Linked DNA regions of Elephas maximus indicus. The protein of the gene in region 1 interacts with the protein of each later gene in a pairwise test. Links are inferred from orthologs where the notes say so. Each region holds a gene or a part of one and is shown in the gene's direction. Other genes may lie near its edges.

What was found. The genes of interacting proteins can lie anywhere in the genome.
Region 2: the proteins of RINT1 (region 1) and CCDC121 interact in binary tests that used the Homo sapiens proteins (3 or more experiments, as listed by UniProt). The two-hybrid records come from large-scale screens. The link is inferred for Elephas maximus indicus from reciprocal best matches to the Homo sapiens genes RINT1 and CCDC121.
Region 3: the proteins of RINT1 (region 1) and EPC1 interact in binary tests that used the Homo sapiens proteins (3 or more experiments, as listed by UniProt). The two-hybrid records come from large-scale screens. The link is inferred for Elephas maximus indicus from reciprocal best matches to the Homo sapiens genes RINT1 and EPC1.

The regions. Positions count from the first base shown.
Region 1 is NC_064826.1:44,103,402-44,110,554, reverse strand, and holds the start of RINT1 (RAD50-interacting protein 1), read left to right. Parts: upstream 1-4,151; 5' UTR 4,152-4,270; coding exon 4,271-4,312; intron 4,313-4,769; coding exon 4,770-4,815; exon of another isoform or gene 4,816-4,926; intron 4,927-7,153. UniProt on the Homo sapiens protein: Involved in regulation of membrane traffic between the Golgi and the endoplasmic reticulum (ER); the function is proposed to depend on its association in the NRZ complex which is believed to play a role in SNARE assembly at the ER.
Region 2 is NC_064830.1:46,146,169-46,153,916, reverse strand, and holds the start of CCDC121 (coiled-coil domain-containing protein 121), read left to right. Parts: upstream 1-4,748; 5' UTR 4,749-4,986; coding exon 4,987-5,318; intron 5,319-6,114; coding exon 6,115-7,069; 3' UTR 7,070-7,748. Other genes in the region: GPN1 (GPN-loop GTPase 1), read right to left, coding at 3,711-3,804, 4,531-4,641.
Region 3 is NC_064822.1:5,673,095-5,681,048, reverse strand, and holds the start of EPC1 (enhancer of polycomb homolog 1), read left to right. Parts: upstream 1-5,026; 5' UTR 5,027-5,235; coding exon 5,236-5,388; intron 5,389-7,954. Other genes in the region: translation initiation factor IF-2-like, read right to left, coding at 4,676-5,026. UniProt on the Homo sapiens protein: Component of the NuA4 histone acetyltransferase (HAT) complex, a multiprotein complex involved in transcriptional activation of select genes principally by acetylation of nucleosomal histones H4 and H2A.

The DNA.
Region 1 (7,153 bases):
ATACAAAAGTTTATACACACCTTTCTATACATGCCTAGCTGCCCTCCCCCTAATGAGACAGCACACTCCTTCTCTCCACCCTCTATTTTCATGTCCATTAAGTCAGCTTCTGAGCCCCTTTAAAGGCAGAGCTTTTTCTACTAGTGAAACTATTCTTCCCTTTTTAAGATGACTTCAGGAGATATTTTTCGTTTAAGGTTTAAAGATTATTTCAGGGCAATAATTTCATGGGTAGTTTTGGCCCTTTATTGATGGCTTCCACCAGGCATTTAATAATGAAAAAAGAATCACTTTAGGCACTGGTTTGTTTTACATATAATTTCCTTTGATTGCAGCAATCCAAGAGCACCATTGTCCCTCTTCCTCAAATTACCCTGCCTGCTTGACAGGTCCACAAAAGAATCATCTTCTAGAAACCTGATTATAGCAAGTTCTTCTGTGTAAAGAAAAATAAATGTCATTCCTCTTCCCATGCTCTTTAAGACGCATACATTTCCCAACCAAATCCTAGCCCCTAATAGGTTTTACACGTCTAATAATTTTGCCAAATTTCAACCCTGAGTAAACAACCAGTGTGTTAAATCCTTATATTTCTTCTAGGCTTGTTTTTAAAACCTGAGTTTACTTATGGGGATCTGGTCAAAAGAGTCATAGATAATTTGCTCAGACTGGTGGGGTTCTGTACTGCTTTCCTCTGAGACTATTCACCTCAGTTTAAGTACCTCTGATGTTTTTCTGTCCTTAACCTCTGTGCAGTCACGAGTCCTGGGCTTTGGCTAATTCATAGGTTAATATTCCAGTGACAACCCCCGCAGATATTTTTACCATAGCCACACAGTAATAATTCAATCCCAAATTCTTTATTTTTATATGCTTTAGGAAGATACCTTCTCTGGGGTTACAGCCCAATTCCTCATAAATGCATGTAGAGGAAAGAAAGTTCACATTTCTTTGGCCACTAGCTGAGTCCATAGTCAAAACTTACCCTTCTACATTTCAGCCTAAATTGCCTTACACAAGGTCCAAGTTTAGTTTTCTGTTTACCAAAACGGACAAATTGGCGTTTATAGTTAAAATAACAAGAAGTGTTGAAAGCCCCTCCTAATTCCAATTCTTTCTAGTAAATATTTAACAGTTGAATATTCTCCTCAGCTTTGAGTCCATCCTAACAAGTATATTCTGTACAATATTTGGTATTCTCCTTTTAACTCTATACCAGCAGTACAGGTTGCTAAATGCCTATCACATGAAATCTATCTTTTCTTTAGTTCTTATTATCACCTAGTATTCTGTCCTTCTAAGATGCCTTCCCCCACTCCCCGGATAGTACTTAACTGTTCTCTGTGCTCCTTCAGTCATTGTAAACACTAATTTTATATTATTTCCATGTCTATTTCTTTTACTAGAAAGTGAGTTCTTCAGAGGCAAGAATTTGGATTTAGGATTATCTTTTTTTCTCCTTTATTTTTATTAGAGTTCTACATGCCTGTGGTTTAGAGTCAAATGATTCTGTAGAAACCTCATCAGGTTTGCAAAGAAACAGCTGGGACTGCTTCCTCACCTCTTCCCTCACCTGTTTTCCCCTCCTCAAAGGCCGTCATTTCACTTCTTTTAACTGATTGTTTTGTTATTTACCTTTATTTCTCTATATAACATGCTTGTATTGCTATTGCCTGATTTTTCCTTTTTAGGCATTATCTACTGACTTCATTTAATTGAAAATGAGGATTTAGCTCTCCTTTCATTTCCATGCTTCTCATTCCTCCACCTGCTCAATATACCAAAAACCCAAACCCTTGCCTTTGAGTCAATTCCAACTCATAGCGACCCTATAGGACAGAGTAGAACTGCCCCATACAGTTTCCAAGGAGCACTTGGTGGATTTCAACTTCCGACTTTTGGTTAGCAGCCGTAGCTCTTAACCACCAGGGTTTCCGCTCAATATACAGTTAATTATATGGTACTTTTTATTAGATTTGTGTTTGCTTCATGGTGTCTAGGTAAATATTATTCACATCTTAGCTTAAGTACCGCTTTTCATTTCCTGCACAGTTTTTTGTTTTTCCAGTAGTTAATAATAATCTTATTTTCATTTACTTACTCATCCCTAAGCCAAGCCTGAACTCTACAATTGTTTAAACTTCCCTCTCTAGTGATTCAGCTACATGAGGTGTTCTATCAATTTCATCCTTCTGAAGGAGTCTTCTGGAGCCTTCTGACCTGCATCCACCTAGCCTAAAGCTCAGTTGTTGTCATGCCTCTCACTTCCTTTTTCTCTTGTGTTATATCTTCTGTTATTTCCTGTTTTCTTCTTTCTTGGTCTATTTTCTCATTTTATTGTTCTCGTTAGGTGTCATTGAGTTGTTTCCGACTCATAGCAACCCACTGTACAATAGAACAAAACACTGCCCAGTCCTTCACCATCCTCACAATCTTTGCTATGTTTGAGTCCATTGTTCCAGCCACTGTGTCAATCCATCTCGTTAAGGGTCTTCCTCATTTTCGCTGACCCTCTACTTTACCAAGCATGATGTCTTTCTCCAGGGACTGGTCCCTCCTAATAACATGTCCAAACTATGTAAGATGAATTCTCACCATTCTTGCTTCTAAGGAGCATTCTGGCTGTACTTCTTCCAAGACAGGAACAGATTTGTTCGTTCTTCTGGCAGTCCATGGTGTATTCAGTATTTTTCTCCAACACCGTAATTTAAAGGCATCAATTTTTCTTTGGTCTTCCTTACTCATTGACCAGCTTTTGCATTCATTTGAGGCAATTGAAAATACCATCGCTTGGGTCATGTGCACTTTAGTCCTCAAAGTGACATCTTTACTTTTTAATACTTGAAAGAGGTCTTTTGCTGCAGAATTGCCCAATGTGATACGTCGTTTGATTTCTTGACTGCTGCTTCCGTGGGCGTTGAATAAAAAGAACAGGATATATATAGCTATATATATACATATACATGTATATATATTTCGAGGGGGGTCTCTAAATGCTCCTTTACAGATAGTATCCTGTTCTTGTTTAATGATTGCAAGGGTGTCTCGAACCTTTCTTAGAGTACTGGTTTTTTTTTTTTTTTAAGTTTTCTCCTCACAGCGACCTCCACTCACACTCTCAGAGTGGTTTCTGTTTCCTCAAAGGGTTGCTTCCCCAACACCACCCCCCTCCCCCGCCCCGTATGCTTTGATCTCTAGGTTATTGTTACTGTCCTTGTTAGGTGCCATTGAATAGATCACTCATAGCAACGCCATGTGACAGAGTAGAACTGCCCCATAGGGTTTTCTAGGCTGCAATCTTTGTGGGAGCAGACTGCCAGGTCTTTCTCCTAGCGGCTGGGGGAGTTCAAACTACAAACGTTTCAGTTAGCAGCTGAGTGCTTAACTGTTGCACCACCAAGGCTCCTTACCACTTGCCTACTTTCCCTGTTAGTTTGTTTATGAAGTAGTCAAATCCGTGGGTCCCCTCCCTACTCCTGGCTGCTAGGTATCCTCATTGCTAGGTAACTCACCTTCCTCCTCCCTAGCAATGGACAGGTATTTCTTGGGTCTCTGCACTGGACAAAGTGCGTATTAGATGCTGAGTCCTCTTAGTCCATTCAGCTCCCAGGACATTTGCAATCAAATCTGCACCATCCAGGCAGGAAATTGGAGGGTTATCTCTAGGGAATCTGATCTGCCTTAAAAGAAAGAGCCAAAGATACTGACATTGGAGATTCTCCGACTAAACAGCCCAACTAAATAACTGTCCTTTGAAGCTCGTCGCCAACAAGCCTACTCACACTTTCAGAATATCTGATCAGTTCCTTTATTTGTCTATTCTTAAATGTAAGCAGAAAATCAAGGATACCATTTAAAATATAAATTTAAACAACTCTTATTGAATTTATGGTGGGAAGGGAGGGAGGGATATCCTCAAGTATACAAGTAATTAAGGGTCCCAATTAAGTGGGGGGGGGAGGCGCTACCATGGTTGGGGGGATTCTCTGCTTCTCTTGCGAACCTTGGAAGAGGGCAAGCGCCTGCTCTTTGAGTTGCAGGTCCCATCCCTGGCAGGTAGGAGGAGCCCTAGCCCACAGTCGGCGGCTGCGCGGGCAGGGCCTCTCTGGGCCAAGAGGAAGAAACCACAGAGACGACTAGAGGAAGTCGCGGTGACGTACATCCCAGCAGCTGCCGAGGCTGAGCTGGTGTCTCTGTCATCACTGGCCGGAGCAGGACTGCACAGGACACCCTGGCTGTGCATGGAGCTAAGGACGCGCGCACGGGCGGGATGCTCCCAGCAGGCGAGATAGGCGAGCCGCCGGCGGCCCTGGTGAGGCGAACTTGCTGTTCCGGGGAGGGGACATAACCCTCCAAGGGAGGTGTCCCCAGTGTCCCCGGAAAGTTGGCACTGGTGGTCTGGTGAGGTGGCGTAGATCTCCCAGGGGACGTAGTCCCAGTGAGGTGGCCCTTTTGGTCCGGAGAGGTGGTTTCGGCGGCCCGGGGGAGATGGCCCTTGTGATCTCGGTGAAGTGGCCCTTGCCACTCTGATGAGGTGGCCCCAGAGCCCCCGGAGAGGTGTCCCTGGCGGTCCCCTTGAGGTGGCACAGACCTTCCGGGGAGATGGCCCCTTTTGAAGCTGCATCGGATGACCTAAGCCCCTCGGGGAGGCCCCTAAGAAAGGGATCTGGAACCTCTCTCCCGACCAGTGGATGCGCTTTGGGCACCCTGTATCCGTTCCATCCAGTGATGCAGTCTTAATGTATTTGTCACACTTGCTCTCCTTCTAGTGCTGTCCTGAAAGTGGTGACGAAAGGAAGACTATCGAGGAGAAAAGTAAGGAGGCTTCAGACACCTTAGTTCTTTCTATCCAACCCTCTCTCCAAAACTCAACCTCCCAGGGTCTTCATTAGAGAAGGGCTCTTAGCCTGTTGTCTTTTAGATGAGGTATTTTTTTCTCTGCATAATATACTTGCATAATATGCTTGCATAATATTAAATCCCAGTTATCATTATATGTGTATTTTTGCCTTAACTGTCTGAAATTGTAAAACATGGAATGTTTTGGAGAAGAGCACTTCCTGACTCCTTAGTGCAGGGATTGGTGTGGTTTCACTGGAGAATTCTGCCCGTCATACAGAATTTGAAATAATTGGGAGTCTGACTGTCATTCTAACAAGTATCAGCTTGCTGTTGTTGTAGGCATTGTCTTAGATTTTAACTAATAGTGACCCCACGAGACAGAGTAGAACTGCCCTATAGGGTTTTCTAGCCGTAATCTTTATGGAGCAGATCACCAGGTGTTTCTCCTGCAGAGCCCACTGGGTGGGTTCACACTGCCAACTTTTGGGTTAGCAGCCTGGTGCTTAACTTTTGTGCCACCATGGCTCCTCACCAACTCATTAAACATCAGGAATTGAGAGGGGCTAATTTTTTTTTTAATGATCTAGAACAAAGAGCCCTATGGTGCAGTGGTCAAGTGCTTGGCTGCCAACCAAAAGGTGGGCCGTTCATACCCACCAGCCACTTCCCGGCAGAATTATGTGGCAGTATTCCGTAAAATTTACTGCCTCAGAAACCCTATGGGGGAGTTCTACTCTGTACTATAGGGTCTCTATGAGTCAGAATCCACACTAGGGCAACGGGTTTTGGTTTGGAATGATCTAGGAAGGTGCTTTGGCAGTGCAATGTTTAAGAGCTCGGCTATTAACTGAAAGATCTGTGATTCAAACCTACCAGCAGCTTTCTGGGAGAAAAGACCTGGCAATCTAGTCCTGTAAAGATTACAGCCTGGGAAACCCTATGAGGCAATTCTCCTCTGTCCTGTAGGGTAGCTTTGAGTCAGAATCAACCCCACAGCATACAATAACAGCAATGATCTAGGAGCGATGACCACTGCCATCTTAATATTCCCCACTGATATAGTCAGCCTGAGAAGGAAAATTATTAGTATGTAGCACTCCACAATCATAGCTGTCCCAGCTCAAGGTCTTTTTCCTTGAAGGATTTGAGAGTGCCCCATACCTTTTAGACAAACCCTTCACTTTTCTACCTTTGGCCTGTTCAGATGCCTAGGAAGTGTGATACCTGCCGAGCTGTCATTTTAAATTCTGACTGTAGACTTTGTCCTTGTTGCTGCCTTGGTGGCTCTGCCAGCTGATGTCCAGTTGGGAGTGCTCTTTACAGAAAGCAAAGAGAGAGTGAGAAAGAGATTAAAAAAAAAAAAGCCTCCCAAATCACCAGTGTGCCATTTTGAAAAATGTCATTTGACTAAAAATATACTATGTTGCATTTAAATGGTTATACCAAGAGGACATAATTATTTAAAAAAAAAAAAAGTGAATACAGAATTTACTTCCTAAAGTGTAGCAACCTTTACATTTACAAAACATTCCCTTTGCACATAGACCTGCCTCCATTTTTCTGCAGATACATCACACAACTGGTTCTGGTTTTATGTAAGGTAAATTTAAAAAGGAGGTGGTGTGATTTCTCTATATAATTGTGATGGATTTCTATATTAATAAAGTTTGGGTGCATACCAGCCAATTCTGCTCATACTTGAAGGAGGAGAAAATAAGAATGTTGGATTGAGTTAGGTAAAATGGATTTTAGTTCTATTTCCAACCTTTAAGTGTAGACTAGAGCAAATGTTATAATCTATGTAATAGTTGGGAAGTTGAGGCATAGACTTATGTTTTGTTTCTCCTACTTACTAGTGGGCTACTGGTTCTCACACATGAGAACAAGCTTTTAATTGCTTAAAAGTTAAGGAAAATTTGTTTTCTTAGAGGGGAGGATACCCAGTTCAATAAACACACTGGTATATGTTCTGATAATATAGGCATAAATAGTTGAACAGTATCTGATATTTACATTATTCATTTAGGCAAAGTTTTATTCCGATATTCTTATTTTCATTTTATCAGAAGCACCAGTTGTTTAGGAATGAGGTTGATTATACCTACTTGCCTTTCATTGCTATTTTCTGAAAACTTTGCGTTTTTGGTCAAGGGTGAACCTCTATAAGGGATAGCTCAAAAATATTTCTTACTTAATTATATCTTAATAAGCATCCTGGATAGTGGGAGAACTTACAGAAACTTTTGGGGTGAAATATAGGAAATGATCAAATTTCAGGCATAGAGTAAGAAGAAGACTATTTGGGAAGCTT
Region 2 (7,748 bases), on another chromosome or scaffold:
AACGCTCAAATTATGTGGTAGATAAGGCCTGAGACAAGGTGAGAAGCTTTATACAATTGAACTATTTTATCATTGACCATACACACAGAAAAAAGGGACCCAAATCAACAAAAAAGTTTATCTCTTACTAATTGTCTACTGGTGACAACGGCAAGGCAGACATTATTTTGAAAAAGAAACTAGTCTGTCCACTAATAGCTAACTAAATCTTCTTACCAGTCTGTAGGCCTCTCCCATCAACTATTAGAACTCCATTCTTTAGGTGAAAGATAGGCAATTTTTTTCCCAAATTACTCCAAAAATTATATCTGCCTCTTACTACAGAGTCTCCCTTTCATTAGTATGTTTGGAGTATATGCATACCTCACTTCACTGCACTTCACATATACTGTGTTTTTTTACAAACTGAAGGCTTGTGGCAATGCTGCAGTGAGCATGTCTACTGGCACCATTTTTCCAACAGCATCTGCTCACTTTGTGTCTCTGTGTCACATTTTCGTACTCTTTGCAATATTTCAAACATTTTCATTATTATTCTATCTGTTACAGTGATCTGTGATCAGTGATCTTTGATATTATTATTTTAATTGTCTTGGGACGCCACAAACAATGCTCATATAAGACGGCAAACTTAATCAATAAATGTTGTGTGTGTTCTAACTGCTCCACCAACCATTTCCCCATTTCTCCCCCTCTCCTCAGGCCTCCCTATTGCCTGAGATACAACAATATTGAAATCAGACCAATTAACAGCCCTACAGTGGCCTCTAAGTGAAAGGAAGAGTCACACGTCTCTCACTTTAAATCAAAAGCTAGAAATGATTAAGCTTGGTGACAAAGGCATGTCGAAAGCTGAGACAGTCCAAAATCTAGGCTTCTTACAACAAACAGCTAGCCAAGTTGTGAATGCAAAGGAAAAGTTCTTGAAGGAAACTAAAAGCGAACACATGAATGATAAGTGGAACAGCCCTATTGCTGATATGGAGAAAGTTTTAGGGGTCTGGATAGAAGGTCAAACCAACCACAACATTCCCTTAAGCCAAAGCCTAATCCAGAGCAAGGCCCTAACACTCTTCAATTCTGTAAAGGCTGAGAGAGGTGAGGGAGCTGCAGAAGAAAAGTCTGAAGCCAGCAGAGGCTGGTTCATGAGGTTTAAGGAAGGAAACCATCTCCATAACATAACAGTGCTAGGTGAAGCAGCAAGCGCTGAGGTAGAAGCTGCAGCACATTATCCGGAAGGTCCAGCTGAGATCATTGATGAGGACGGCTACACTAGACAATGGATTCGCAATGCAGACGGAACAGCCTTACACTGGAAGAAGATGCCGTCTAGGACCTTCAGAGCAAGAGAGGAGTCAGCACCTGGCTTCAACGCTTCAAAAACAGGCTGACTCTCTCGTTAGGGGCTGAGGCAGCTGGGGACTTTAAGTTGAAACCAGTGCTCATTTACCATTCCAAAAATCCCAGGGCCCTCAGGAATTATGCCAGACCTACTCTGCCTGTGCTCTATAAATGGAACAACAAAGCCTGGATGACCGCACATCTGTTTACAACATGGTTTACTGAGTATGTTAAGCTCATGGTTGAGACCTACTGCTCAGAAAGAAAGATTCAACGTATTACTGCTTACTGACAATGCACCTGGTCACCCAAGAGCTCTGACGGAGATGTCCAAGAAGATTCATGTTCTCAGGCCGGCTAACAATAACATCTGGAGCCCTAGTGGCTCGGTGGTTAAGCACTTGGCTGCTAACCAAAAAGTGGGCAGTTCAAATCCACCAGCTGCTACTTGGAACCCCTATGGGACATTTTCACACTGTCCTATAGGGTCACTATGAGTCGAAATCGACTTGACAGTAATGGTTTTTTTTTTTTTTTTTTAAATGGGTAACGCAATATTCATTCTGCAGCCCATGGATCAAGGAGTAATTCTGACTTTTAAGTCTTATATTTAAGAAATACATTTCGTAAGGCTACAGCTGCTGCAGATAATGATTCTTCTGATGGTTCTGGGCAAAGTATATTGAAAACCTTCTGGAAAGGATTCACCATGCTAGATGTCATTAATAACACTTGTGATTCATGGGAAAAAAACCATCAAAATATTAACATTAACAGGAGTTTGGGAGAAGTTGATTCTGATCTTCATGAATGTCTTTAAGGCATTCAAGACTTCAGTGGAGGGAGTAACTGCAGATGTGCTGGCAAGAGCAAGGGAACTGAATTAGAAGGGGCGCCTGAAGATGTGACTGAAGTGCTGCAATCTCATGATAAAACTTTAACAGATGAGGAGTTGCTTCTTATGGATGAGCAAAGAAAGTGATTTCTTGACACGGAATCTAGTCCTGGTGAAGATGCTGTGAACACTGTTCAAACGACAACAAAAGACTTAGAATACTACATAAACTTAGCTGATAAAGCAGCGGCAGGGTTTGAGAAGACTGACCCCAATTTTGTAAGAAGTTCCACTGTGGGTCAAATGCTCTCAAACAGTATCATGTGCTACAGAGAAATCTTTCATGAAAGGGAAGAGTCAATCAAGGTAGCACACTTCATTGTTTTCTTATTTCAAGAAACTGCCACTGCCACCCCAAGCTTCAGCAGTCATCAACATCAAGGCAAGACCCTCCATCAGCAAAAGGATTAAACTTGCTCAGATAATGGTTAGCATTTTTTAAGCAATAAAATATTTTTTAATTAAGTTATGAACGTTGTGTTTTCAGACATAATGCTATTGCACAATTAACAGACTACACTACAGTGTAAACATAAATTTTATATGCACTAGGAAACCAGTAAATTCTTGCAGTTCACTTTATTGCAGTGGTCTGGAACCAAACCCATAATTTCTCTGAGGTATGTTTAATCAGGATTAAGAAGAGCCAAAAAAAAAAAAAAAAAACAAAACCCAGAGACAAGGAGGGATCAATTAGCACACAGTGACGGCCTGGAAATCAGGAAGCCCAGATCTTAACAAGAATCATAACGCTGGATCACATTCATTCTTAATCTTTTTTGTAGTTACAGGCTCCTCTTAGAATTTGATGAAAATTGGGAACCTCTTCCCAGAGCAATATACATATGCATTTATACAGATATTTTCCCATGAAACTTTGGAAGTGGGAGCAAGATCCCTATAGATAAGCGAGTCAGCTACAGCACCCTGTAAAACCCATTGCCTTTTGAGTCAATTCCAGCTCACAGTGACCCTAAAGGACAGAGTAGAATTACCCCATAGACTTTCCAAAGAGCGCCTGGTGGATTCAAACTGCCGACCTTTTGGTTAGCAGCCATAGCTCTTAACCACTATGCCACCAGCGTTTCCAAAACTGTAGCATAAGAACCCTTATACTGACTAAACTTTAAGAAATTAAAAGGAAAAGGTTTATGTTTAAGAGTCAGCTGAAGGGTTTATAGTGCAGAAGCAACAGGACTGACTTCCTGTCACTTATCTACCCAAATAAGAATAGCCTAACACACTAGGGTTAGAAAGAGGGGAGAGGTAAAGGTAAGTGGAAAGGAGACAAAAAAATTTAGGAAAAGGAGTAAACAAAAAGAAAATGTGAATAAAGAAGCCTGGATAGAGACTCTCACAAATCCAAGAAAATGACAGTAGATATTGAGAAAAATGAAGGCACTGAAGACTAGAAGACTGAGGCTTTCCATTTCCTTTTAGGCATTTCACTCAAGCTCTGGTATAGTTCACTCACCAATATTGGCAGGAAAAGGAACTTCATGCACAGCTGGGTCCAGGTTGATCACATAAGGTGGAGAGCCTTGGCTATGCAGGTGTCCAGTGAGCCTCTGCAGAGACATGAGGAGGCGGGTGGAGAGAGAGGAAAAGGTCGATAAGAGAGAAAAAGGACGATAAGAGAAGAAGAGAGAACTTCCATTCCTTTACTGCCCGTGACTGAAGGCTTTTGCACCTACACTTCCCTCTAACTGAAATATCCATTCTCTATGTTCACCTCCAACATTCAGCTCTCAGTTCAAATGCTACCTTTATCACCATCCTCTACTACTCGCCATCGCTCACTTAATTGCTTGGGGAGGAGGAAGGAGTTCCTGTCTCCCCCACTGAAATATTAGTTCCATGAAAGCAAGAACCTTGTCAACCTTATTGTCGCTGTGTTCTCAGTGCCTAGACCATCGTAGGCGTGCAATTAATAATTCTTTGACGGATCTTCACCGACAGCCTGTGTGCTACCACTGTATTAACTGCTGGAGTTTCCTGTAAGTTCCCGACTTTCAGAAGTTCGCAATTTTATCGGTGAGACAATTCCAGTACAACGTGGTAAATTATATGAAGCATGCACTGAGCACTGAGAGTAAGCAAAAAAGAGCCTTAATTAACCCAGGCTAGAATCCGAGAATACGTCGCCAAGAAAGACACCGGAGCTGATTTGAAGCGCAAGAAAGTCACGCGCGAGTATCCTCCAACGCCCGAGAAACCTCCTTCCCTATCTATTAGGCTTCCGTTCAGCACAACCTCTCACGTACTCCTTATTACGGCTGAGCCATGTAAGTCACCTGTACGAAAGTGGTTTTTCCAGATCCCGCCATTCCCAACACCAACAGACACACTGTGGGCCGAGGACCACCCGAAGCCTGTGGCTCTGACACAGCTACGGGAGTCGCCATCTTTCTTCTAGATCCGCCCACCCTACGACAGAGACGCCGCGTGGCTAGAGAGACTTCCGCGACGCTCTGGGCTGGGAATGAGCATAGAGTCGAATGGGCTCGAAGAGTAAGGACGGGGGGCGGGGCGAAGTGCCTCACAGTCTTCTTTGTGTCTCGACCCAGCTCGGGAGCCAACTAGTGACAGTGACTGAGTAGCGGTTACGCTGGGCAACCGAGAGGCGGGCTGAAGGGGCAAGGAGAAGGGGTGTTAACCTTCATAGGGTTGGGCCTGGGAAGAGGAAAGCCCTGGTCCCCGGGAGAAGGAGAAGAGACGGGATCGCGGGGGCAGGCTCCCACAGAACTAGAATGAGGAGAGTGGGTCTCACTTTCGGCCCCCAAGGAGGAGCAAACAGAGCCACGGGAGAACTGGCTGCTGGGGCTTACCCTGCAGCCGAGGAGGTTAAACAAGTCTGGGCCGGACGGGTCTGGACTGGGGCCGAGCGCCACCCCCGGGGTTGCTGGGCAGCGCCGAGACTCGTTGAGCACAGAACGGAGACACTGCGAGAACTTAACGCGCTTGGATACCGTTCCCGCGTGTCGCCGACCCCGGACACTAGCGCTTGCCCCTCGACCATCACCCTTAGTGAACTGCACAATCACCATCACCTTGAGGATGAACCGTTGGATCCGAGGCGCACGTGAGTTGAGAAGGGGAGGTTCTCTCTCATGGAAGCGCCATCGCGGAAACGTGGTGAAAAAGCCGAGATGACTCCTATTCTTGGCCACCCAATCTGTTCTTGAGGTCCTTGATACGGGCTGTAAGCCATAAGATCTGGGTTTTATACCCACGCTCTGCCATTTGTTAGGTGTGTAAGCTTTGACAAAAACCCAGCCGATTGCCTTCGAGCCAATTCCGACTCATAGCCACTCTTTAGGGCAGAGTAGAACTGCCCCATAGGGTTTCCAAAGGAGCGGCCGCTGGATTTGAACTGCCGACCTTTTGGTTAGCAGCCAAACGCTTAACCACTGCACCACCAGAGCCCCAAACATTGACAGGTCACTTATATTCTGTGAACCACTTTTCTACTCTTTAAAATTGAGATAACGCCTCACAGCGTTGTAGTGAATGCATTGTAAACTATAGTCCCTCATCTTTACCCCTAAATGTATTCCCTTGGAACATGTTGTTGTTAGTTGCCATGGAGTCCATTTGGTGACCACACGCATGTCAAGAGTAGAACTGCTCCACAGGGTTTTCAAGGCTGTGTGACCTTTCTGAAGCAGATCCTTCCAGGTGCCTCTGGGTGGGTTTGTAGTCCAGTTAGTAGTCCAGCACTTAGACGTTTGCACAACCCAGGGATTCCTTGGAACATATTAGGTGCTCAAAAATATTTTCTTGTATGAGTCCAAGTACAAATGTGCATTTTTTAAAAATTATTTCCTAAGTTTTCATTAAGAACCAACAGGGGAATGTGTCATTTGTTCTCCCTTCAGGTTTGATGAGGGCCCTGAGACAGCTCTTCCACCATATCTTAGTCTAATAAATACTTTTTTCAAGCCAGAGAAGCTAACAAAGGCTGAAATGAAGTTTAAAAAAAAGGCAATGGTGGAAGTGGTGGACCTGAACAATCAAATAGAACAAGCTCAAATCCAGCAGGAACAGCTACAGAAGGAAAGCAGGCAGCTATGCACTGAAAAGTTACTTGTCCAGGCTGAACACAAATTCATTCTGGAATACCTGACCAACAAGACTGAGGAGTACAGAAAGCAGCCCATTAAGATGTGGAACAACTATGTACAAAAAAGTGAGGAGACTGAACTACGGAGGCAGGAGGCAACCTCAAGATATGGGAAACAAACTTCAGTGCTTAAAGCAGAGCTCTTGCAGAAGGAAAAGACCCAAAGCCTTCTGAAACACCAGCTGAAGGCAATGAAGGACATTTTAATATTAAAGGAAAAACAGGAGATAGAAATGCTGGCATTGCAGGAGGAGAAAAGGAAAGTCCAAGATGAGACAGCTGCAAAGACACAGGAAGTACAGGTCCAGATCCTCCAGGAAAAAGCACTACTGGAGAAACAACTGAGTGAGCCAGACATAAGCCAGTTGGGAAAGAGAAAAAGAAGAGAGCTTAAAAGGAAGAACCAAGCCTTGGAGTTGGCAGCAAAGCAGTATACTCTTGAGTTCTACCGTGGCATCAACAGAGAGAACCAACAGTTACAGAAGGATCTACAGGAGCTAATTCAGCAATCCCAGGAGTTGGTGGCTTGTCAAAGCCAATTAAAAAACAGGAAACAGCAACTGCAGCAAGAACAGTGGTACCTGGAGGGCTTAATCCGGGGAAGGCAACGAATGCAAGGAAGGTATAATTGGTGCCTAAAAGGACAGGATGCTCCAAAGACCACACTGACCCCTCCCCTAGGCACCAAATCAAGGATTAATCCCAAATAATTCCTAAAGTAACACTGATTAAATAAGCGCTGGAGCAAGTACTTTTAGGTGCTACATAAACCCAGTTAAGAAGCTTTTTGGATCTAATTGCTATGGCAAGATGTCTATCATGATGTGTAGGTGTGAAGGATTGGGTGCTTTTTTTCAGCAGTACTGCTTCATATTTGTGACTGGCTTCCCTTAACCCTTCCTCTAAGTAGCTCTTGTTAATAAACAGGATGTTCCACAAACCTCCACGGTTATGACCCTAACCTAATACCCAGCCGCTTACCAAACACCCTGTACTTCAAACTCACTCAAGATCAACTTGAGGTGAGAAGAAAAGTTGTGATTTATTTCATCTACCTTAGATTTGTTAATAGAGAAAGCACCTTTAAGGATAGTGTTTCAGATTTCATATAGTTCTTTCAGCTCTGTAAATAACCCGGTATCAGTTTATCCTCATTCCTTTTGACCAACTCAGCACACAAAGGCAAAGGCAAAAAGTGTTTTTAAGCCTTTTTTTGTTTGTTTATGCCAGTGACCGGTAGATGCTTCTGTGGTTTTTTCCATGAAGCAAAAAGTACTCAACAGCAAGTCCACTAAGTGCTAGGTCTAATGCTAACCCCACCTCCCCAGTTTTAGCTTCGAATAAATTGAGAAACTAAGAGAGGAGGAAGGGGACATACATTAGGTCAAC
Region 3 (7,954 bases), on another chromosome or scaffold:
ACTCTGTCCTGTGGGGTTGCTATGATTCGGAATCAACTCAGCGGCCATGGGGTTTGGTCCGGTTTATTGAGTATTTACTATAACTTATTGGCTTACAGTTCTGGAGGCTAGGAGTTTAAAATCAAGGTATCAGTCATGTTGATTAATTGCTTCTGAGGGCTCTGAGGAAGAATCTGTTCCATGCCTCTCTCCTCTTTTCTTGCAGTCCTTGGCTTACAGCTATATTACTCTGATTTCTGCCTCCATTGTCATATGGCTGTCTTCCCTCTGTGTGTGTCTCTATGTGTTCCTTCTCCTCTTTTACAAGAACACCACCCAGATTGGATTAGGACCCACTTTACCCCAGTATGACCTCATGTTAGCGTAACTGATAACATCTTCGAAGACTATTTCCTAACAAGGTCATATTCACAGGTACCATGGGTTAGGACTTCAATATACCTTTTTGGGAAACACAATTGAATCCATTAGAACCTGGGTTATATCATTTAATCCTGAAAACATTCCTGCGGAGCAGGATTTTGGTAGCTAGAAGTAGACTGCAATCTGAAGAGAGAGGGGGAGGATAGGGAGAAAGAAATGAATAAAAACCTGGAGGCAAGAAGAGACTCGATGAATTTTGAAGACAGTGATGAGACTTACCAGGTCAAAGCGAAGGGACTGTCTGGGACAATAATGACAAAGATGTCGGTTTGGGAGAAAGTTTGGGAGAGTGAGGCAAAATTATGTGAGGCCTTAACAACCACACCAAAGGATTTTACATTTTATTTAATGAGCAAAACAAAGAGAAATTATACGTCTATGACTTGAGAAAGGAGGATACAGAGTGGAAGTAGAAATTTTGGTACCCGGATTTGGTGGCAGGCATTCTGCTGTAAAACCCCAAGGGCACAGTGTGTTTGCTCATATCCCCAGAACCCACAGCCTCTACCAGTCACTACTGGTTACCACTAGTCATAGTTGCCTACAAACAAACACTTTAAGAAAGGTTTATTGAAGGAATGAATGAATGAAATAGGAATTGGATTGGAGGTTGTTTCTAGGTGTGAAGTGATGAGAGCATGGTCTGTGTTTAAGACAGTGGGCATGGAAATACGTAGAGTCAAATCCTAGAACCATTTTCAAAGAAAAAATAATAGGATTTAGGGGATGGATATAACCTACTGGGCATAAATTAATATTTAGAGCCATATTTTAGGTTTATTATATACAGCAGCAGCGTACTTGCATTTGACACATTGTAAGTTTTTTTTTTTTTTTTTAACAGAAATTTGGTATTTGAAACAAATCACATTTCAAGGGTGAGGCTATTATAAGTAATTATTATCACCATAAAAACTTACGTTTCTTTACTGTCTACTCATATTCCCTCCACCCAACTTCTTAGCAGTTTTACCTCATACCTGGAGAGTTGTCCTTGTCACCCACTGAATGCTGGCCAGAGTAAACCTTCACATCCTCAAACCTACCTGGCAGTTGCCTCCTCCCACTCTCTTGTTCATACAGTTTCTTCCTCCCACGAATACCCTTTCTTCTACCACTTCATTCCCATGTCCAGCTGCCATCCTTCAAAACCAAATCGTATGTCACCTTGTCTGTGAAGTCTAATGAACCCAGCTGGAACCAACAGCTCCCTTTTCTGAACCCCTACAGCACTGCATTTGGTTATCTAGGTATCTCTTTACTAGTATCTTATTTGTATTTCCGAAACGATAGCACTGTGTGTTGCTTAGTTATTCAATAAATATTTGTGGCATGAAATAAAGCTATTTTTAAATACTGCAGATCCCTTCCCAACCAAACAAGAGTTTCCCTTTGAGGAAATATTAGTTCAGTTTTGCAGTAATATACTTTTTTCTTTTTGCAATGTTTAGAATTTCACATCACTTTTGTTTGGTACATTTAGAAAAAGGTAACTTACAGGTTAGGAATAGAAAAGAAAGTTCAAGTGTAAGAAATTGTTCCGTGGGATACAGGAAACAAACAAACAAAAAACTCAACTAAACCCTTTGTTGTCGAGTTGATTTGGACTCATGGTGATCCCATGTGTGCAGAGTAGAACTACATTCTGTAGGGTTTTCAAGGCTGTGATTTTTCAGAAGCAGATGGACAGGCCTTTCTTTTGAGGCACTCTGGGTGGGTTCGAATTACCAACCTTTCTGTTAGTCCAGTGCTTGCTTAACTGTTTGCACTACCCAGGGAGTCCCAGGATAAAGGAAGCTGAAGAAAATTAAACCTGGGCCTTCATTGCTGCACTCCTCTTCCTTAGGAGAGAGGGAAGTGAACTGAACTCATGAGGTCCTTGGGACTCCAGCCTTTGTCTCCTTGGGAACCCAGTAGAATCTGGGAGTTAAAAATCCAGGGCATTGAGAAACTGGATGGAGAACCGATACAAAAACAGGTATCTCTTAGCAGGTGTATTATCTGCAAGGAGAAAAAAAGGAGAAAAAAAGGCAGCTGAAATTGTAAGCGTATCTCTGAACCTTTGTGCAGGGCAAATCTAGACTTTCTAGAGAATAAGGAACTTAGATAATTATTTTAATGAAAGTAAAAGAAATTATTCATTTCCTTGGCTTGCTCATGACTTAAGATCCTATTTTGTTCTATAAAGTCTTCCAATTGTGACTTCTACTATTAGGATTTTAAGCTGGAGAGGAATATTATACTAATTTCAGCCAGTATTTTCTGAGTCGTTAAACCTCGCATCTTGGAAACCCTCTGCGGGCAGTTCTGCTCTGTCCTATACAGTCTCTATGAGGCGGGAACCGACTGGACTGCACACAACAACATTCCATTCCCAGTGCTGGTGGCAATTCTTGAGGTTCCCAGACTTTGACATGCTCTTGTGACCCTGAGCCTTTACAGATGCTGCTTCCCTTGCCTAAGATACCTTTCTTCTCCTCATTTTTTCTTTTTTGGCAAGGTTAACGCATACTTATCCTAAAATTTTTCTCAGATATTATCTTCTCCAAAAGCCTTCCCTGAATGCTTTCATTGGAGCCACTCCCCATGATTTGGGTGCCACTGCAGCCTGTTCCCATGATGGCCTCGGCTTTCCTCATAACATTTACCACATAGTGTGGCAATTGTCATTCACAGGTCTTTCTCCCCCACTGTGCAGGCTCTTACTGGAGCCCTGTGAGTGCCAAGCAATCAGCAGCATACTTGGGAGGCAGTAAGCGCTCCCTAAATACTCACTGAGTGAATGCAGTCTTGGTTTAAGAAATGCAGGTGAAAGTCCTGCCTCACAGGGTGAGTTGTTACTATTGTAATTTTAGAATAATTTTGGAGAACTGCAATCTATGTCTCTCCTTGTCTTCTCCCCACTTCATGGAGTGTAGCTAAAGCAACCTGGAAAATAGCAGTGTGCCTATGTGCCCTAAGCTAATAACAGTTCATTCCAACCCAGCATTTAAGAACACTGATTATTTTTACTATGTGGCCTCCAGGGGAAAAGCAGATTTAAAAAAACACTTTTGTATTTTGGCTAACACTTGAAACTTTGTTGCCAAACGTATCAAATCCACCCCAGCAATCTTTTTTGATTTTAACAACATTCCACTGGAAAGAGGTCTCTGGATACTGGTTTTTGCCATGTGGTGTAATAAAAACCAAATGTCAGCCATCTATCACAGCCATCTACATTTCTTCTAATAATTCAGTTATTCCTATTTGGGGGGGGGGGGACAGGGCAGAAACACTACAAGTCTTTATATGATTCGATTTTATAAACTTTTTCAGAGAACAAATGATAAGAATAAGTGTGAGCCCATGGCTATGTTGAAGCAGCATTATCTTTCGGCACAGAAAACTGGGAGCTGAATATAAAGAATACGCAAAAGTCCACTGCCGTCGAATCGATTTCACACTCATAGCAACCCTATTAGGACAGAGTACAACTGCCCTATAGGGTTTCCAAGGCTGTAAATCTTTGGGGAAGCAGACTGCCACATCTTTCTCCTGCAGAGCAGCTGGTGGGTTCCAAGCCTTGACGGTCAGGTTCGCAGCCGAGCGCTTTAACCACTGCACCACCAAGGCTCCCTATATAGACTTGAAAAGTTTGAAGATCTCGCTTAAAATTTTTCCTGGAGATTAGTGTCCAATAACCATTCCGTTTGCTCTAATTACGACAAAAAAGTTAATATGCAGGATTAAAAAAAAGAAAAAAAACCCACTTGGGACAAGTGTAGGATGCTTACCGTTTTTATGAGCCCAGTGGGTGGGAAACTGACCAATGATTTTATGGGGAGCCTATCAAATAATATAACCCAAAGTTTCATTAGACGTAAAAATAATTGCTAGTACACGTTCATCCAAAGTAACTTTTTGCTCCTAATTTCGTGTGCATTTTTGTTTTAAAGACATAAAAGGCTGGGATAATTAAGATATGCATTCACCCACCCAGCTTAGCATCGGTGCGCATCACTTCTGAAACGCCTTTCAAGCCCCACCGAAAGTGGCTTGGGCATAGCCCTGGGCATCGCCCAGCCCTCGCGCCGGCCGTCGTCGGGGAAAGCGCCCGGGCTGCTGCGATGACAGGTGCCCGAGCCCCCGGACCCCGCGCGGGCGCAGCCCCGGAGGGAGCAGGGCAAAAACAGCCACACGCATTTCTCTCCCCGTTGCCCTTCGAAAAGCCGGGGAGCGGGCGGACACCGGTTTTCCGCACCTTCACCCCTCAGGAAGCAGCGATAGGAGGGCGCGGGCGCGAGACAGCGTGTGCGCGAAAGGGGGCTGAGCAGCGAGAAGTCGGCTCGGACACCTGAGCGTCCCGACGTCCGGCTGTCCCGGCGCGCGGCGGCCCTGTCCGCCTCCCGGGCCGCGGAGGGCGGGGGCCGCGAGCAGCGAGCGCGGGGAGCGAGGCCGGCGGGAGCCGGGGGTTGGCGGGACGCGCGCTCCGTGCCGGCGCCCGGTCTCGAGCCCGCGCCCCCCCCCGCGTGCCCGCGCCGCTGCGCGATGCAGTGTGGGGAATGGCTGGGGTTGGCTGAAGAGCGCACAGTGGAGTTTTAATGTCCGCCATGTTGGCCATGGCGTATTGAAGAGAGCGAGAGAGAGAGGAGCGGAGCGGCACAGACTCCCACCCTCCCGGCTGCTGTTAGTGCCCGGACGGCGGGCTCTGCGCTCCGCCCCTCAAGTCCCCGGCAGCGGTAGGCGAGTGGGGACCGAACCCCCGGTTCTCCATGATCCCGCTGGCCGGGGCCGTTTCCCCAGAGCGGAGAGGTATCTGCTGCGCCTGAGATGAGTAAACTGTCGTTTCGGGCGCGGGCGCTAGACGCCTCGAAGCCGCTGCCGGTTTTCCGCTGTGAGGATCTGCCCGACCTGCACGAATACGCCTCGATAAACCGGGCCGTGCCGCAGATGCCCACCGGAATGGAGAAGGAAGAGGAGTCGGTACGTGTTAACTCCCCTGTCCGACCCACCGCCAGGCCCCGCTCCCTCTGCTGCCTGCGGCGGCGACGGAGCACCATAATCACACAAAATGGCCGCCATCTTCTCCTCCCCGCCGACACTCAGTCGCCGGCCGGGCCCTTACCCCGCCTCCCCCGGCCTCGACCCCCGGCCGCCGCGGCCCGCTAGGGCCTCCTCTAAGGCTAGCCGCCGACACTGGCCACTCGTACCCAGGTCCCGCGGAGTCCGGGGGACCCGAAAGGCACAAAGGGGTCACGTGACGAAGCTGCCGGCAGCCATTTTGTGGTCTTTAGTTCTTGGGTTGGGCCCTTCGCATCCGGAGAGGGGAACGGGTTGGGTGGCGGTGGGGTGCGGCGAGCTGGGAGCCGGGCAGGACCTGCCTGCAGGCCTCTTGGCGGGCCGCTGGGTGGCGCTCTGGGGTCGCCTCGGCCTCGCGCCGCTGCCGCCGCCGGGGCGCGCAGGGCCTGCCACCGCGGGGCGTTTGGTGCCTTCAGCGCTCGTGGGGCTCAGGCCGCGCGTCCGCCAGCGGGGGCCTCGGAAGTGCCGGTGCTGTTGACAGCAGGTCGGTCTGTCGCGGGTATTGCACATCGGCCGCGACGACTTACTTTCCTGGGAGGTTTGACCGACTTGCAGTATTCCCTTTCTGGGACTTTCGCATCCGTCCCTCTCCAGTACCAGTTAGTCGGAGGGGTGATAAACTGCTCCCCCTGACTTTTTCTTTGATCTTTCAGAGTATGTTGCCGATTTGCTTGGGGTACGTGGCTCTTCGAAAGGCTGTAACTTTGTTATTTTTTCTGTAACATGTAAGTTTGCCTGCGTTCTGGTCTCAGCCTAAGGGGAGAAAAGACCCGATTTAAAGTAAATGTCATAGATGTGGATTTCGAAAGAGGGTCATTTCTCATCCATAACTGAGCTGAAAATTAAATCACTTTGTTCACAGACGTCTTAACATAAGGCGATTGAAATGTCTGAAGTGGGTGGGTTTCAGTATTTAAATGACTGTTTACAGCTAATAGACATTTTGCCATATATGTGGCTTTACCGTGTTATGGAAGTTGAGTTCAGACGCAAGGATAATAGAATGTCCCTCTCATTTCCCCCAGATCCTTGACAGTGTAACTTGATGACTTCTAATCCTAAGGAATTGCATACCTTGGTTTTCAGCCATTTAAACAGGGCGCAGTGTATTGACAGTTCAAGGAAGTCAAGGAGTCGCGGATTTGTCTGCTGCAAATTTGTTGTGGAAAATTGTAATGCTTTCATTTGGTACTGTAAGAATTTTAAATGTAGTAATTATGCTCTGTAATGTTTTTGAAAATAAAACTGTTTAAACCATTTGGGTTGTTTAACCTTTTAAAGTAAAATAGTTGTGGCAGTTAAATGTTACTTTTGGGTAGTGTCTTAAATCTAACTTTAAAGATAAGCTAAGCGCTAAGTGTATGTAGTAGTTGAGATTGTCTAGTGCAGTACTGACTTTCAGCACCTTATCTATGAGACAGTACCTCTTTTTTTTTTTTTTTTTGGCTTGTATCAACTTTAGAGTAGAATGGTGCCATTTGTTTATTTTTAAATAAGTGATTTGTTTTTAAAAATTAAAGTACTTGTGACTGCAGAATCTTGTCTTGGTTTTTTGTTTCTAAGTTTTACAGATAATATTTTCAAGATGGGGTGTTGGTGTTACATGGTCTTTGAAATTAATTTCTAGTTTTTGTTTTGCAGCCAAGGGCAGACCCTTGATTAAAGCTGGGTAGCACTACAGTACACTTTAGAAGTTTAGTTTTGTTTCTGGGAATACTTTGAGCAGTCCCAAGAGCTACAATCTAAAATCAGAGCCAAGTTTAACTGAAGCATCAGTGCTTCTTAAATTTACAGGTAATTTTTGCTCACTGAAATAATTTCCACATTTTATAGTGCACTAGATATCATTCCCTGGTGGTGTAGTGATTAAGAGCTTGGTTGTTAACTAAAAGGGCAGCAGTTCAGATCCACCAACTGCTTCTTGGAAACCCTACGGACAGTTCTACTCTGTGTCATATAGGGCCTCTGTGAGTCGGAACCGACTCAACGGCACATAACTGCAACAACAAGACATTTTTTCCATAACACTATCCTTTTCATCATCTGTTTAGAATTTGTTCCACTTTACATCCAACTGAAGCTGTATGACCAGAGAAGCACGTTGTTGTTAGATGCCGTCAAGTTGGTTCCGACCTATAGTGACAGAATGTATAACAAACACTGCCTGGTTCTGCGCCATCCTCACAGTTGTTGGCATGTTTGAACCCATTGTTGCAGCCACTGTGTCAGCCCATCTCATTGAGGATTTTCCTCTTTTTCACTCACCCTCTACCGAGAATGGTGTCCTTCTCCGGAGACTAATCGATCTCTCCTGATAACGTGTCCAAAGTACATGAGACCAAGTGTTGCCATCCTCGATTCTAAGGAGCATTCTGGCTGTACTTCTTCCAAGACAGATTTACTCATTCTCCTGGCAGTCCATGGTATAGTCACTCCTCTTCATCATCAGAATTCAGATGCATCAGTCGTT